Linked DNA regions of Callithrix jacchus. The protein of the gene in region 2 purifies or fractionates together with the protein of the main gene of each other region. This does not show direct contact. Links are inferred from orthologs where the notes say so. Each region holds a gene or a part of one and is shown on either strand. Other genes may lie near its edges. The genes, in order: NUP85, NUP37 and NUP107.

Region 1 (4,321 bases), on a different chromosome or scaffold from region 2:
CTTATTTTTTGTTTTTAGTAGAGATGGGGTTTCAGCATGTTGACCAGGATGGTCTCAATCTCTTGACCTCGTGATCCACCTGCCTCGGCCTCCCAAAGCGCTGGGATTACAGGCATGAGCCACCGCGCCGAGCCCCGCTCTTCTTAAACTATGGGCAAACTCCTACCCTCCATTCCTCCCTCCTCTCCCTTAGCCTACGTTCTAAAAAACCTCAAACTTCTCCGGCTATCACCTGACCTAAAACCTAAGCATCTTATTTTCTTCTGCAATACTGCTTGACCATGATATAAATTGGACAATGGCTCTAAATGTCCATTGTCCATTTAGAAAATGGTACCTTCAATTTCTCTATCCTACAGGATCTAGATAACTTTCGTAGTAAAATGGGCAAATTCTCTACGTCCAGGCATTTTTTTTTACACACCAATCTCTCCCTAATCTCTGTTCTCAATGCAACCCATCCCAAATTTTCCTTCTCTCCCTTCCATCTGCCCCTCCTGCCTCTGCCAGCAACCTAGAATTCTCCTTGTCCATCGACCCTTCCGACCTTTCTCCTCCCTGCCTGTCGGAACCAGGCCCTAATCCAGGACCTAAGCCCAACCCCTAGAGCTTTCCTCCTCTTCCTCTGCCCACAACCCATTTCCTTATGCCCCTCCTGTCACCTCGCCACCTCATAAGTGCCCCAGCTTGCAGTTTAGTCCTGTGGCTACCTCCTCCACCCCTGTCTGACAATTCCCTCTTCGAGAGGTGGCTGGAGCCAAAGGCATAGTTAGGGTGCAGGTTCCTTTCTCTTTATCCGACCTTTCCCAAATCAGCCAATGGTTAGGCTCTTTTACATCAGATCCTCCAATACTTAACCCAGGCCTGTAATCTCGCCTGGAGTGACTTAAATGTCATCCTTACTTCTACTCTCACCCCTGAAGAATGCTTGATATGCATTTTATCACCCATTGAGTCCCTAACATTACAAAAAGCCACAGAAATTAGAATCTGGCCCTCAAACCCCACAACAGGAATTAATTGACCTCACCTTTAAGGTGTTAAATAATAGGGAAAAAGCTACCCAGGGGCAGCGTATTTCGGAATTACAAATGCTTGCCTCCTCTGTAAGATAGACCACAGCTACTTCTTCTTCGGCTCACAGAAGTTTCAGACCACCAAACCCACAGCGTCCAGACTTCTCTTCAGGACCTCCTTCCCCAAAGCCTTGCTTCAAATGCCGAGAACCTGGCCACTGAGCCAAGGAATGCCTGCAGCCCGGATTTTTTTTTTTTTTTTTTTGAGACAGAGTCTTACTCTGTCGCCAGTCTGGAGTGCAGTGGCGGGATCTCGACTCACTGCAGCCTCCGCCTCCTGGGTTCAAGCAATTCTCTTGCCTCAGCCACCCAAGCAGCTGGGACTACAGGCGCGCGCCACCATGCCCAGCTAATTTTTGTATTTAAGTAGAGACGGAGTTTCAACATGTTGGCTAGGCTGGTCTGGATCTCTTGACCTCGTGATCCGCCCGCCTCAGCCTCCCAACCGGGATTCTTCCTAAGCCATGTCCTGTCTGTGTGGGACCCCAATGGAGGTAGGACTGCCAGACTCAAACTGCTGTCTTTAAGTCTCCAGGAGCCCAACCCGGGAGCCCTCAGGCTGACTCTTTCCCTGATCTCCTTGGCTTGGTGGCTGAAGACTGATGCTGCCTGAACATCTCAGAGGCTCCCTGGAACATCACAAACACTGCGCTTCGAGTAACTGGTGGAGGTCAAGTCCATCCCCTTCTTAATCAACCCGGAGCCACACACTCCACACTGCCTTCTTTTCAAGGACCTGTCTCCTTGGCCTCCATAACTGTTGTGGGAATTGACGGCAAGGTCTCCAGGCCTCTCAAAACTCCCCAAGTCTGGTGTCAATTAGGCCAGCACCACTTTCCATATTCTTTCCTAATCAGTCCCACTTGTCCAATTCCTCTGTTAGGCCAAGATATCCTAGCAAAATTGTCTGCCTCCTTAACTATTCCTGGGCTATAGCCACACCTCACTGGCGCCCTCCTCCCCGAACCCATACCTCCTGAATAGCTCCTCTTATGTCCCCCTACCTTAACCCTAGGGTGAGGGACACCGCCTCCCCATCCGTGGCTACAAGTCACTCTAACTTTCCACTGCCCACCCCAAACCTATAAAACCAACTCCTATCTCACCGCCCTTCGCTGACTCTTTTCGGATTCAGCCCGCCCACACCCAGGTGAATAAACAGCCATGTTGCTCACACAAAGTCTGGGTGTATCTTCATTCAAAGCGCACGTTTTAACAGTCTCCCCAGAGAATAAATACGTTCAATAAACCTTAGACCACACAGGCAGAAGCTCAATGTACCGCTTGCAAAGCTTAACATAGCTAGAAGAAAAACATCAATACTTCTGCTCGGGCTGAACCCACTCTACTGCCCAAGAGGAAAAGCGAGGGAAATAGAAAGGCCAGGAAGACAAAGGAGGGAAAGGGATGGAGTGGGACCTTCGGGGCCAGGACTTGTGACTGGTGGCAGAAACCCTGCAACCACTGCAACTCGAGGGCGGGCACTTCGTTAACACTGCGACCTTCGGACAGTGGCAACTGAGTCAAGGGTAGGGGACGAGCGCCTAGCGGCCAGGAGGGAAGCAGACAAGCCTGAACTAACGAAGCAGACGCAGTTCTGGAGCCGCAAGGACGAACAAGCCTTTTCGGGGCGCCCTTACAGTGACTGTTGGCTCGCCATCAAGCTCCTCCATAGCGCTACACTCCAGCCTCCTGGAAGTCGCCCCACCGCCAATGCTTCCCGCTCAGGCCTCCAGCTCAGAGCTGGCTAAGAGAGGACCCCGCTGGGCGCCTCCTGCAGCGCCTGCAAGCCCAAACCCTCAATGCTGCGGGGGCCTCTCCTCTCAGCCACCCGTCTGCGGTCCTCTGAGCGGGTCCTTCCTTTCTGGCCTCGACAGCACGTCAGGGAGAAGAGCGCCGAGGGCAGACTGCATTCACGGTACCGCGCTCACAGGATCAGGCGGCACCGCGGACATCCCCGCGCCGGGCGGAGAAAAGGCCCCCGGAGACGGCGGGAGGGGCGGGAGGACCCTGGGGCCAGAGACGGTGCGACTGCGCGTGCGTGAGCTTTGCGGCGCTGGTGCGAACTCGGGCAGCGCTAGGGCCCCAGTGAGCGTACAACCTCTACCAACGCTGGGAGTCCTCGCCCCATCCTGGTCTCCACTTTAGTGTCGTCGCAGCTGCTTGTCCAAACCCCGACAGTCAAACGGATTTGTGCTGGAAAGCAATCGCCGCCACTCCCACACTAGAACACATACAAGAAGCACCCGGACAAAATCGACACCACTGAAGGCTGGGCGCGGTGGCTCACTCCTCTAATCTCCGCACTTTGGCAGGCCTAGGTGGGCGGATCACTGGAGGTCAGGGGTTCGAGACCAGCCTGGCCAACATGAGGAAACCTCGTCTCTACTTAGAATACAGGCCGGGCGCAGTGGCTCACGCCTGTACTCCTAGCACTTTGGGAGGGCTAGGCGGGCGGATTACGTGAGGTCCGGGACTTCGAGACCAGCCTGACCAACATGAAGAAACCCTGTCTCTACTAAAAATACAAATTAGCCGGGCATGGTGGCGCATGCCTGTAATCCCAGCTCCTCGGGAGGCTGAAACAGGAGAATCGCTTGAACCCGGGAGGTGGAGGTTGCAGTGAGCCAAGATCTCGACACTGCACTCCAGCCTGGGCAACACAGTGAGACTCCATCTCAAAAAAAACAAATCTTGGCTGGGCGCGGTGGCTCACGCCTATAATCCCAGCACTTTGTGAGGCCGAGACGAGTGGATCACAAGGTCAAGAGATCGAGACCATCCTGGTCAACATGGTGAAACCCCGTCTCTACTAAAAACACAAAAATTAGCTGGGCATGGTGGTGCACGCCTGTAGTCCCAGCTACTCGGGAGGCTGAGGCAGGAGAATTGCCTGAACCCAGGAGGCGGAGGTTGCGATGAGCCGAGATCCGCCACTGCACTCCAGCCTGGGTAACAAGAGCAAAACTCCGTCTCAAAAAAAAAAAAAACAAATCTTAGTGCTATACTTCCTTTATTATTTTTCTTTTAAGGCTGACAAAATGACATTTGAAGATAACAAAAGTACTTAGATTGTCTGACCAAGAGCTAGGTAACATTGAGGAAAATGTATTGGCAATATTCTTTGGTCTAAGACTGATATATACCAGTCATTTTACCCAATCATTCAAATAGGCTTATTAATAGAATAGTGAAAAAGGAAAACTACAGCTAACAGAGCTATCCTTGTTCTGTATTTTGACTAC
Region 2 (3,628 bases):
AACATTATGTAAAACAGCAGAGCAGCAGTTTTTTGCTTCCTCAAAGTATTGTTAAAGCAAATGAAGCAACTGACACCCTTCCAATGACTGACGCACTCATTTCACTCCTGACTGCTCAGCTTATTTCAACCCGCTATTGTTTTCATCTTGTTCTTTACTTGTGATATTCTCCAGCTTTAGGCACTATTAAAATGTTATAGCTACCTCATCTGTCCTAAGTTAGGGGGTGGGGTACAAGAACAAAATAGTGACATGTATTGTATCTACATAAAACCTTATGTAGAAACCTCTGAATTTATCAAAACACTAAATTTTCCATCAGTCTTATGTAGCAGATAAGAGTTAGAGTTCATTATTAAACACTAACTTATATAGGCTCTGTGAGGTAACTTGACAACTGCATTTTATTCCTACGCATCTTGTCCAGTATTGGGGAATTTGATCCAATATATGTTTGGGCTTTTTTTTTTTGAGACGGAGTTTCGCTCTGTCACTCAGGCTTGAGTGCCGTGGCACAATCTTGGCTAACTGCAACCTCAGTCTCCCAGGTTCTAGAGATTCTCTTGCCTTGGCCCCACAAGTAGCTGGGATTACAAGTGCACACCATTACTGCTGGCTAATTTTTGTATGTTTAGTAGAAATGGAGTTTGCCATGTTGGTCAGGCTGGTCGTGAACTTCTGACCTTAGGTGATCCACCTGCCTTGACCTCCCAAAGAGCTGAGATTACTGGTGTGAGCCACTGTGCCTAGCCCGATACATATTTGGATTTCGTAAATGTCAAAATCCGAAATAAGACATAAAAGACACCCAAGGGAGGCAAGGGAACTTTTCATTAACGGCGACGAGGACCCAACTCACTGGTTTTGAAACTCATGTTTGTGTCATACCTACAGTTCAAATAAGGTATGCTTCTTTTACAACACTCTATAGAATTTATATAAAAGTCACATTTTTTTCTCATTCAAAAAATATAATTCTCATTAAAATAAAATGAAAATTTACAAATGTGGTTATAACATAAGCAACATACCTGCAGGTATGATCGTCACTCACACTTGCAATTCCTTGGCCACTTTCGGGATGAAACACCAAACCATTAATGAAATCTGAATGGCCCTCTAAAACCTGACAGAAAGAGAAAACTTAGTAAGAAAACAGGAAAATCTATAATATTCCTACACAATATTTTTGCTTCACTGCCTTAAAAGCTTTCACTGCATGTTTTTCTATAAATATTTCTTAAGCAATCTGCTATTTTTAAAGCATGATTTATACACCCACTTTTTGGAAGGTCTATCTTGGAAAGAAATTGATCATTCAACACACTATTAGCTTAGTCTTTCTTTTTTAGTATGCATTTCTTACAAAAACACACATACATTTTTATTGTACCTGTCCTCATATCACCTCCTTTCTCACTTTTTATATAAAGCTTAAATAAAAATTAGAGCTAGAAAACTTTTTAGGAGTACTGAGGTAGAGTGCCTCTAGGTTTTTTACCTTATAACTGTTGCTCTGTATACTCACTACTACTTAACAAACACACACAGGATGGACTTCACGATCTAATGCCTTCATTTACATGTTCAATGTGACTGCCAGCAGTGAAGACAGCTAGTTGTTGTAAGACTATAGTCATCATCAACACAAAAATCTTTGCCTTGACAGAGAAGCAACAAATGAGAAGTTGCATGGTAGAGGACTGTGTGAGCAGGTAAGGTTCAATCTGTCTAAATCTTCATGGTTGAAATCCTAAATAGGCCTGTCAGATAATTACTTTAATGATTATCATTTTTTCTACCCTTCCTTCTTTCCAAAAATTCAAATTTGATCTCATTCTGAGGTTATTAGAGCAGTTCTGTATAGTACTGATAACTATGTAGAAATGTAACATGAAAAAAAGAAAAAAGATTTGGGTCAAACATTGCTGAAAACTTTCACCAACCCAGGTCCTCCAAATCACTCTCCAAAGCTTCTGTCATAGCCTACAAGGCAAACTAAATTAACCGTGAATGTTTAATGTATATTATAACTACCATTTTAACTTTGGATAGGTCAAAATTTTATGTGCATTTATATACTTGGTTATTTTTGTTATAGCCTTAAATCAGCCAATCTGTACAATAGGTTAAGCCAATTGTAAATAGCTTAGAGCATAATTTTTTACTATTTTCTAAATGATTGGAAAGGTTTCATTTATCTTTGTTTTATAACAATATTCATATTTTGGTTTATTAGAAAGCCAAGGCAATACCATTCTTATAAGAAAACATGATGGAATTTCAGCCCAACCTGAGGGTAATTATTATGGTAATAGAAAACACACATATGGGTTTTGCTGTGTAACAAGCATTATTCTAAGTGTTTTATATGAATTTGCTCAGTCAACGCTGATAATTCTATAAGGCAGCTGCTATGATTACCCACATTTTACAGCTGAGGATATTAGCACAAAGAGATTCGGTTACTTAACCAAGGTCACACCATTACTAAGTAATAACACAGAGGTTTAAATGCAAGGAATCTGGATTCTGTGTCTGTGCTCTTAACTACTTTGGAATCTGGCCTGTGCTATGCTGTGCTGATCATTTGTTCCCTTGAAGTTCAACTCTTACTCTATGGATGTTCATGTTGATTATATTCCTAATATTTCCAACTTTGAATTTCTAATTCTTTCTTATTTGTTGTTCCTACCTAACATTTCAAGTTAATAAGTGATACGAGATTTATAATCTGCAGTCATTATTAAGAATATAGTTCTTAATATAGTAACCTGGTTACTATTACCTATAATAGAGTAAATGAGACCCTAAATTATATACTTTAATGATGACCATAAAAAGCCATTTTAAATTGGGATAAATTCAATTAAAACAGCAAAAAATAAACATGTGTTAAAATAAACTCTAAAGATTTGTATAGCTGTCAACATACCTTATATTCATTTTTATCTTGAAGATCTGAAGTAAACAATCTAATTTTCAAATCAGCAGCTGAAGTACAAAATCTGGAAGCAATAAAAAACAAAAATATTCCAATTTTCAGCCTTTGAAGGGAAAGGTCTCTCCCTCCCCTGATCTTTCCCTCCAGGTCACTGAAGTTGTTATCAGTAACTCATAATCTTGCTTTTTATGGAGGAAGAAAGAAGAATGTTGTGGCTCCACTGTAAAAAGTATTACATAGACATCACAGAAAGTAGGAGTAGGAGAGAACATATAAAAGTTTAGTTTATTCTGGATTTGCTTCTTCAATAATAAGTATAGAATTTTACACTAAATCAGCACTTGAATTTAATTTTAAATGTTTTCTTAAAAGCATAAAAGGATAGATTTTAAAAAGTATCTTCATTTTAGCCAGTCAACAAGAGATGTTAAAAATATTGTTACACATCTACCTTAGTCTTTGCCCTCTTCTGTTATCCATAGTTTATCCAGTCTCCTTAGTTTTTCTATTTCTCCAAATAAATCAGATTATATAAGATACTATTTTTATACCTATAAGAGCTGACATACTTGCTAAAGGTTGGAGTATTATTTATACTTTAAGCATTTAAGATACATTTTTCAGTAGTTCATCAATGGATTATTAAATTAAAAAACAAAACCTAAGCAGCAAACAACTTCTTTT
Region 3 (4,266 bases), about 55 Mb from region 2:
TAACTTCTCTAAGTCTTGCTTTCAGTTTTGGTAAAATAGAATTAACAATACCTATGTCATAGTTACTGTGTGTTTATGTAAAATACAGTACTTTGTACATGGCAAGAGTTCAACAAATAACTGCAATCATTATTATTTGTGCTTAATTATTGATATAGTAACCAAATACTAATTGTTCTACAATAAATGTTAGCTGCTATTATAATTATCATTATTATTAAGTGCTTTAAAAGCAAAAAAGTCTTACAAGGCTGTCGAAATGAGCTAGGAGTTCGAGGAATAACCTGGTTTCTTGGTGTAGTATTACCAAAATTTTCATCTTGAGATGACTGAACTGTACAATGAGTTAAGAAAAGTTTTCCACGTAGAAAAGAGATCATTAAAGTGAGAACTAACAATATTTTTACTATACAAATTATGTGAATACATTTACCAAGAATAAGGTATTTTATGGCTACTATTTTTCTATGCAAAGGGTAAATGATTCCTTCTGCCATTTAAATTCTCAGATGTCAGTCTTAGATAACTACTGAACTAAATGTTTTTAGTCAGTTTTCAAATAATAAAAAAATCTAATTTCAGCAGAAGCTAACCACAATATGATAGTCAGTAGTAAAATGAAATATCTTTATTCTTAGGGAAACATAATCTCATTAAATTTTAGCATTATATTTACCAAATGACAGTTCCGCAGAGTGAAAAAAAATTTCTACAGGATTTTATTACAGCTAACATTTAATACTCTCATAAAAGAAAATTCTACAACACCGATTCCAAGCATGTTACAATTTTTATAATGATGCTTAAATCGCAAAGGATACTTAAAACTCTTTTTTGAGCACTCTGTTTCCGTGCAGTCCGTGTCACCTCTGCCTCCCGGATAACAGGGGATGATATATCTCCAAAGCCACTCCTAAAGTAGTATAATCAAGCTTACATAAGTGAAATGAGAATGTAGTATTTGTAAAAGAATTTTATCATCACAGCTGGAGTAAAGGGCTCTGAGTAAGTTGTGGTATAGGTCATTCCAATAGCCAAGTCTTAGATCTTTTGCTGAGAATGCACTCCTGGCTCCAAATCCTGCTTATTCTTCAAAGCCTTACTCAAATCTTACCTGCACAAAGACTTCTCTGACTTTCTAGTACTCACTATGTTATTTTCTCCTAAGGAATTATTTCAACACTTGGAATCTATAACACTGTTTTAGATAACTGCTTCATAAAAGTCAATCTCATTTCCCTTGTTGGATTGAGGAGTTATCTAATTACAGGAATTCTCTCTTAAAAGATTTTCTGCAGTCTCCAAAATGCTTTAAAACACAGGTACCACTGAAAAACAAACAACAACACAAAACAGAGCTTGTGAGATAAGAGGGTAAATAAAAGAATTCTGGTAAATGGAGCAGAATGATCCTTCAAATTATTTCAACCCAGGATGTCTCCTGTCCCATCACATCACTCCCTGTCATTTTCACTCAAAGGTCTAGAAACGAAATTGTGTGGATGAAAAGGCCTATGTTTAAGGCAAGAATCTGATATGCTTTTCCTCCACTTAAAACCTTCAGATATTCCTTCAGCAAGAAAGTATGGAAAACAATAACCAAAACAAAATTTAAAAGGTTTAATTAAAAAACAACAACAAAAAAAACTTCAGATATCTCTCTCTAGTCTATAGAAGTACAAATTCCCTAAAAAGCTATTTACAATGTGACCCCAGTTTAGAGGTTCAGTCTTATATTCAGCCACAAATATCGCTTTAAACATATTCTGCATGTGACTGCCGACAAAGCACGTACTTTTTTCTATATCCTAACACCTTTGAATAAGTTTCTTTTAAAACGACCTACAGTGGCTCCCTTGAGCACCTGGTCAACAACTACTTACTCCTCAAAGAGCCCCAGGTAGCCTGGAGACACACAGATGCAGGTTGGGAATTTGGTCCTTGTATTTACTACTAGCCTTCTAACTTTCAGCAAGTTCCTTAACCTCTTTTAGTCTCAGTGGTATCTATGAAAAAAGGATAACAGCACATATTTTCATAGAATTTTTCTTGTTCTGAAGATTAAACAAGCTAATAATATATATTCAAATCCTTTGGAACAATGCAGTCACATAGCAGTACTCAAGGTTTGGAGTACCAATAATGTACTATTATTACTCAAACACCAACTAGAAAGTTACCTTCTTCGAGAGGTCTTCCTGATAGTTATATAGTGACAGGGAGACTTAATCGTTCCAAAACACTTATCACTTTATATGCTTGGTTGTCTCCACTACACAACCAATTCCCCGAGGTGAAGGATCTTGAATAACTGATCTTTGTTGCAGCCGGCTAGCATAATACCCAGATTATAGAAGGAACCCAGTATTTGATGCTGGCACTTGTGATCAGAAAGTCTGGGCTGAGATCCCAGTATCTTCATTGACTGGCTTTGTGATCTCAGGCTGGTCACTCAGCATGTAGAACGCCGGGCTACCTACCCCGCCCACCTCAGGAAAGAATAGTGTTGCTGCCCCAAAGCGCCGAATAGATCGCAGAACACAGTGAGAATGTAGGGAACCATCATAATCCGTATCCCACCCCGACGCAAGCCAAGCGACCTTTTCCGCATTTGTAGCCAAATTTCCTGGCCTGGGGAAGGAGTCTTAGGGGAAGCACCCGGGACCTCCTCCTTGGCTTTTTCTGGGAGTCTAGTTTCACCTATTTCGTTTCGCCAGCAGGCGAGAGGGACAAGACTTCGGGCTCAGCTCCCACGATCAGAACTGACCTGTCCATGGCTAAAGCCTTTTCCATACAGAACCAAGGTTGGCTCCAGTTTAGTTACCGCGTTTTAGCCTTCCCGCTCTCCGGAAGCAAGCCTTTCGACCTGGAAGCACTCTCCCTAAAACAGCCCCACAGAAAAAGCGCAGGGGAGAAGAAACAACGTTCCCACCTAGCGCATGCGCGACTTGAGCCTACATGAGCTAGCCCGGTGGGCGCAGGCGCAAAGTTTGCCAACTTGTGCCTGGCTGGACCAGACAGGACCGGGGGCGGGACCTAGTCGCGTTTAGCCCGGAAGCGTTGCGGCCGCTTTGCCTGACCGATGTCTGTGGGCGTGGAACAGGCGTTGGGTTCTCCTACTGGGAAAAACGAATTATGTTGATAGTCTGGAAAAATGTGAAGTCATTACCTGGTATTCTCTCAGAAAGCGCCTGTTGTTGGAATTCAGATATGTGGGCTCTGCCTCGAGAAATTTCTGTTTCTCTCCCTACGCTCAGTCCTTTGTGCTGTAGCTTCATACAGTTTTTGAAAGTATTTTCCATAACTGCTATTTGTTCTTTACTTGGTATTTTTTGCTATGGAGGAAAAAAAGTTCACCCGTATTAAAAAGTAGAAAGGCAAGCGTAAAATATGATGGTATTGCCCTCTATTCAAAGTGCCGTGTAGGCAAATAGTGGTTATATTTTGGTCTTGAAGGAGTCACATTTTTGTTTTTTTTCATATTTGAAAGTAGTGACTGGTTATTAACTGATAAGATTACAAAAATAATATTAGACACCTCAGTTTATCCATTTAATAAGCCTGTTGATATGGTCTTTTCTGTTGCTGGCATTTATACCTTTCATTAATACAAAATAGGTAGTCCTTCATTCTACCTCGTGGAGAAGATAATTTGAAGGATCACGGGAACTTGAAGAATTTTTCAACAACATAGAGCTCTCGAATCAGATTCTCCAGTCAGATGATGCCATATTTATCAAGAGATCTAGCAATTAAAGAGTTATCTCTGTTAAGGTAATTTGTTTATTGGTTTTACTATAACCAGTAGGTATATCAGTTTATTTGTTGATTTCAGGTTCAGGTGCCCCATGCAATAGGTGGTTCTGCAATCCTCAACATTGTTAACCGAAACCTTGTTGAGTTTAACAAAGGTGCCATTGACAATCTGGGGAAAGTGAAGAAGTTGCCACAGACTTTTGGGCTTACACTATTGATACATTTGATCCTTATTGCAAATGACATTTTGGGTTTCACAGATATGTAGAAATTGCCAGCTTTTCTTGCCATATATTCCTGGTGACAGTGCTGAGCTTTTTTTTCTTTTCTTTTTGAGATTATGTCTCGCTCTAGTCCAGGCTGGAGGGCCGTGGCGTGATCTCGGCTCACTGCGAAGTCTGCAAGCAAGGAAAAAGCTACATCTATGAAAAAGCTAAGCACTGTCGGGTGCGGTGGCTACCCCTGTAATCCCAGCACTTTGGGAGGTCCAGGTGGGAGGGATGGCTTGGG

Evidence for each region.
Region 1: the proteins of NUP37 (region 2) and NUP85 purify together in Homo sapiens (affinity purification with western blotting; 4 studies listed by BioGRID and IntAct, with this or other methods). This does not show direct contact. The link is inferred for Callithrix jacchus from reciprocal best matches to the Homo sapiens genes NUP37 and NUP85.
Region 3: the proteins of NUP37 (region 2) and NUP107 purify together in Homo sapiens (affinity purification with mass spectrometry; 7 studies listed by BioGRID and IntAct, with this or other methods). This does not show direct contact. The link is inferred for Callithrix jacchus from reciprocal best matches to the Homo sapiens genes NUP37 and NUP107.

The regions. Positions count from the first base shown.
Region 1 is NC_133506.1:131,121,857-131,126,177, reverse strand, and holds the start of NUP85 (nuclear pore complex protein Nup85), read right to left. Parts: upstream 2,826-4,321; 5' UTR 2,750-2,825; coding exon 2,717-2,749; intron 1-2,716. UniProt on the Homo sapiens protein: Essential component of the nuclear pore complex (NPC) that seems to be required for NPC assembly and maintenance. As part of the NPC Nup107-160 subcomplex plays a role in RNA export and in tethering NUP96/Nup98 and NUP153 to the nucleus.
Region 2 is NC_133510.1:105,138,291-105,141,918, forward strand, and holds part of NUP37 (nucleoporin Nup37), read right to left. Parts: intron 3,009-3,628; coding exon 2,936-3,008; intron 1,127-2,935; coding exon 1,032-1,126; intron 1-1,031. UniProt on the Homo sapiens protein: Component of the Nup107-160 subcomplex of the nuclear pore complex (NPC). The Nup107-160 subcomplex is required for the assembly of a functional NPC.
Region 3 is NC_133510.1:50,461,671-50,465,936, forward strand, and holds the start of NUP107 (nuclear pore complex protein Nup107), read right to left. Parts: upstream 2,861-4,266; 5' UTR 2,794-2,860; coding exon 2,768-2,793; exon of another isoform or gene 2,181-2,767; intron 914-2,180; coding exon 822-913; intron 335-821; coding exon 248-334; intron 1-247. UniProt on the Homo sapiens protein: Plays a role in the nuclear pore complex (NPC) assembly and/or maintenance. Required for the assembly of peripheral proteins into the NPC. May anchor NUP62 to the NPC. Involved in nephrogenesis.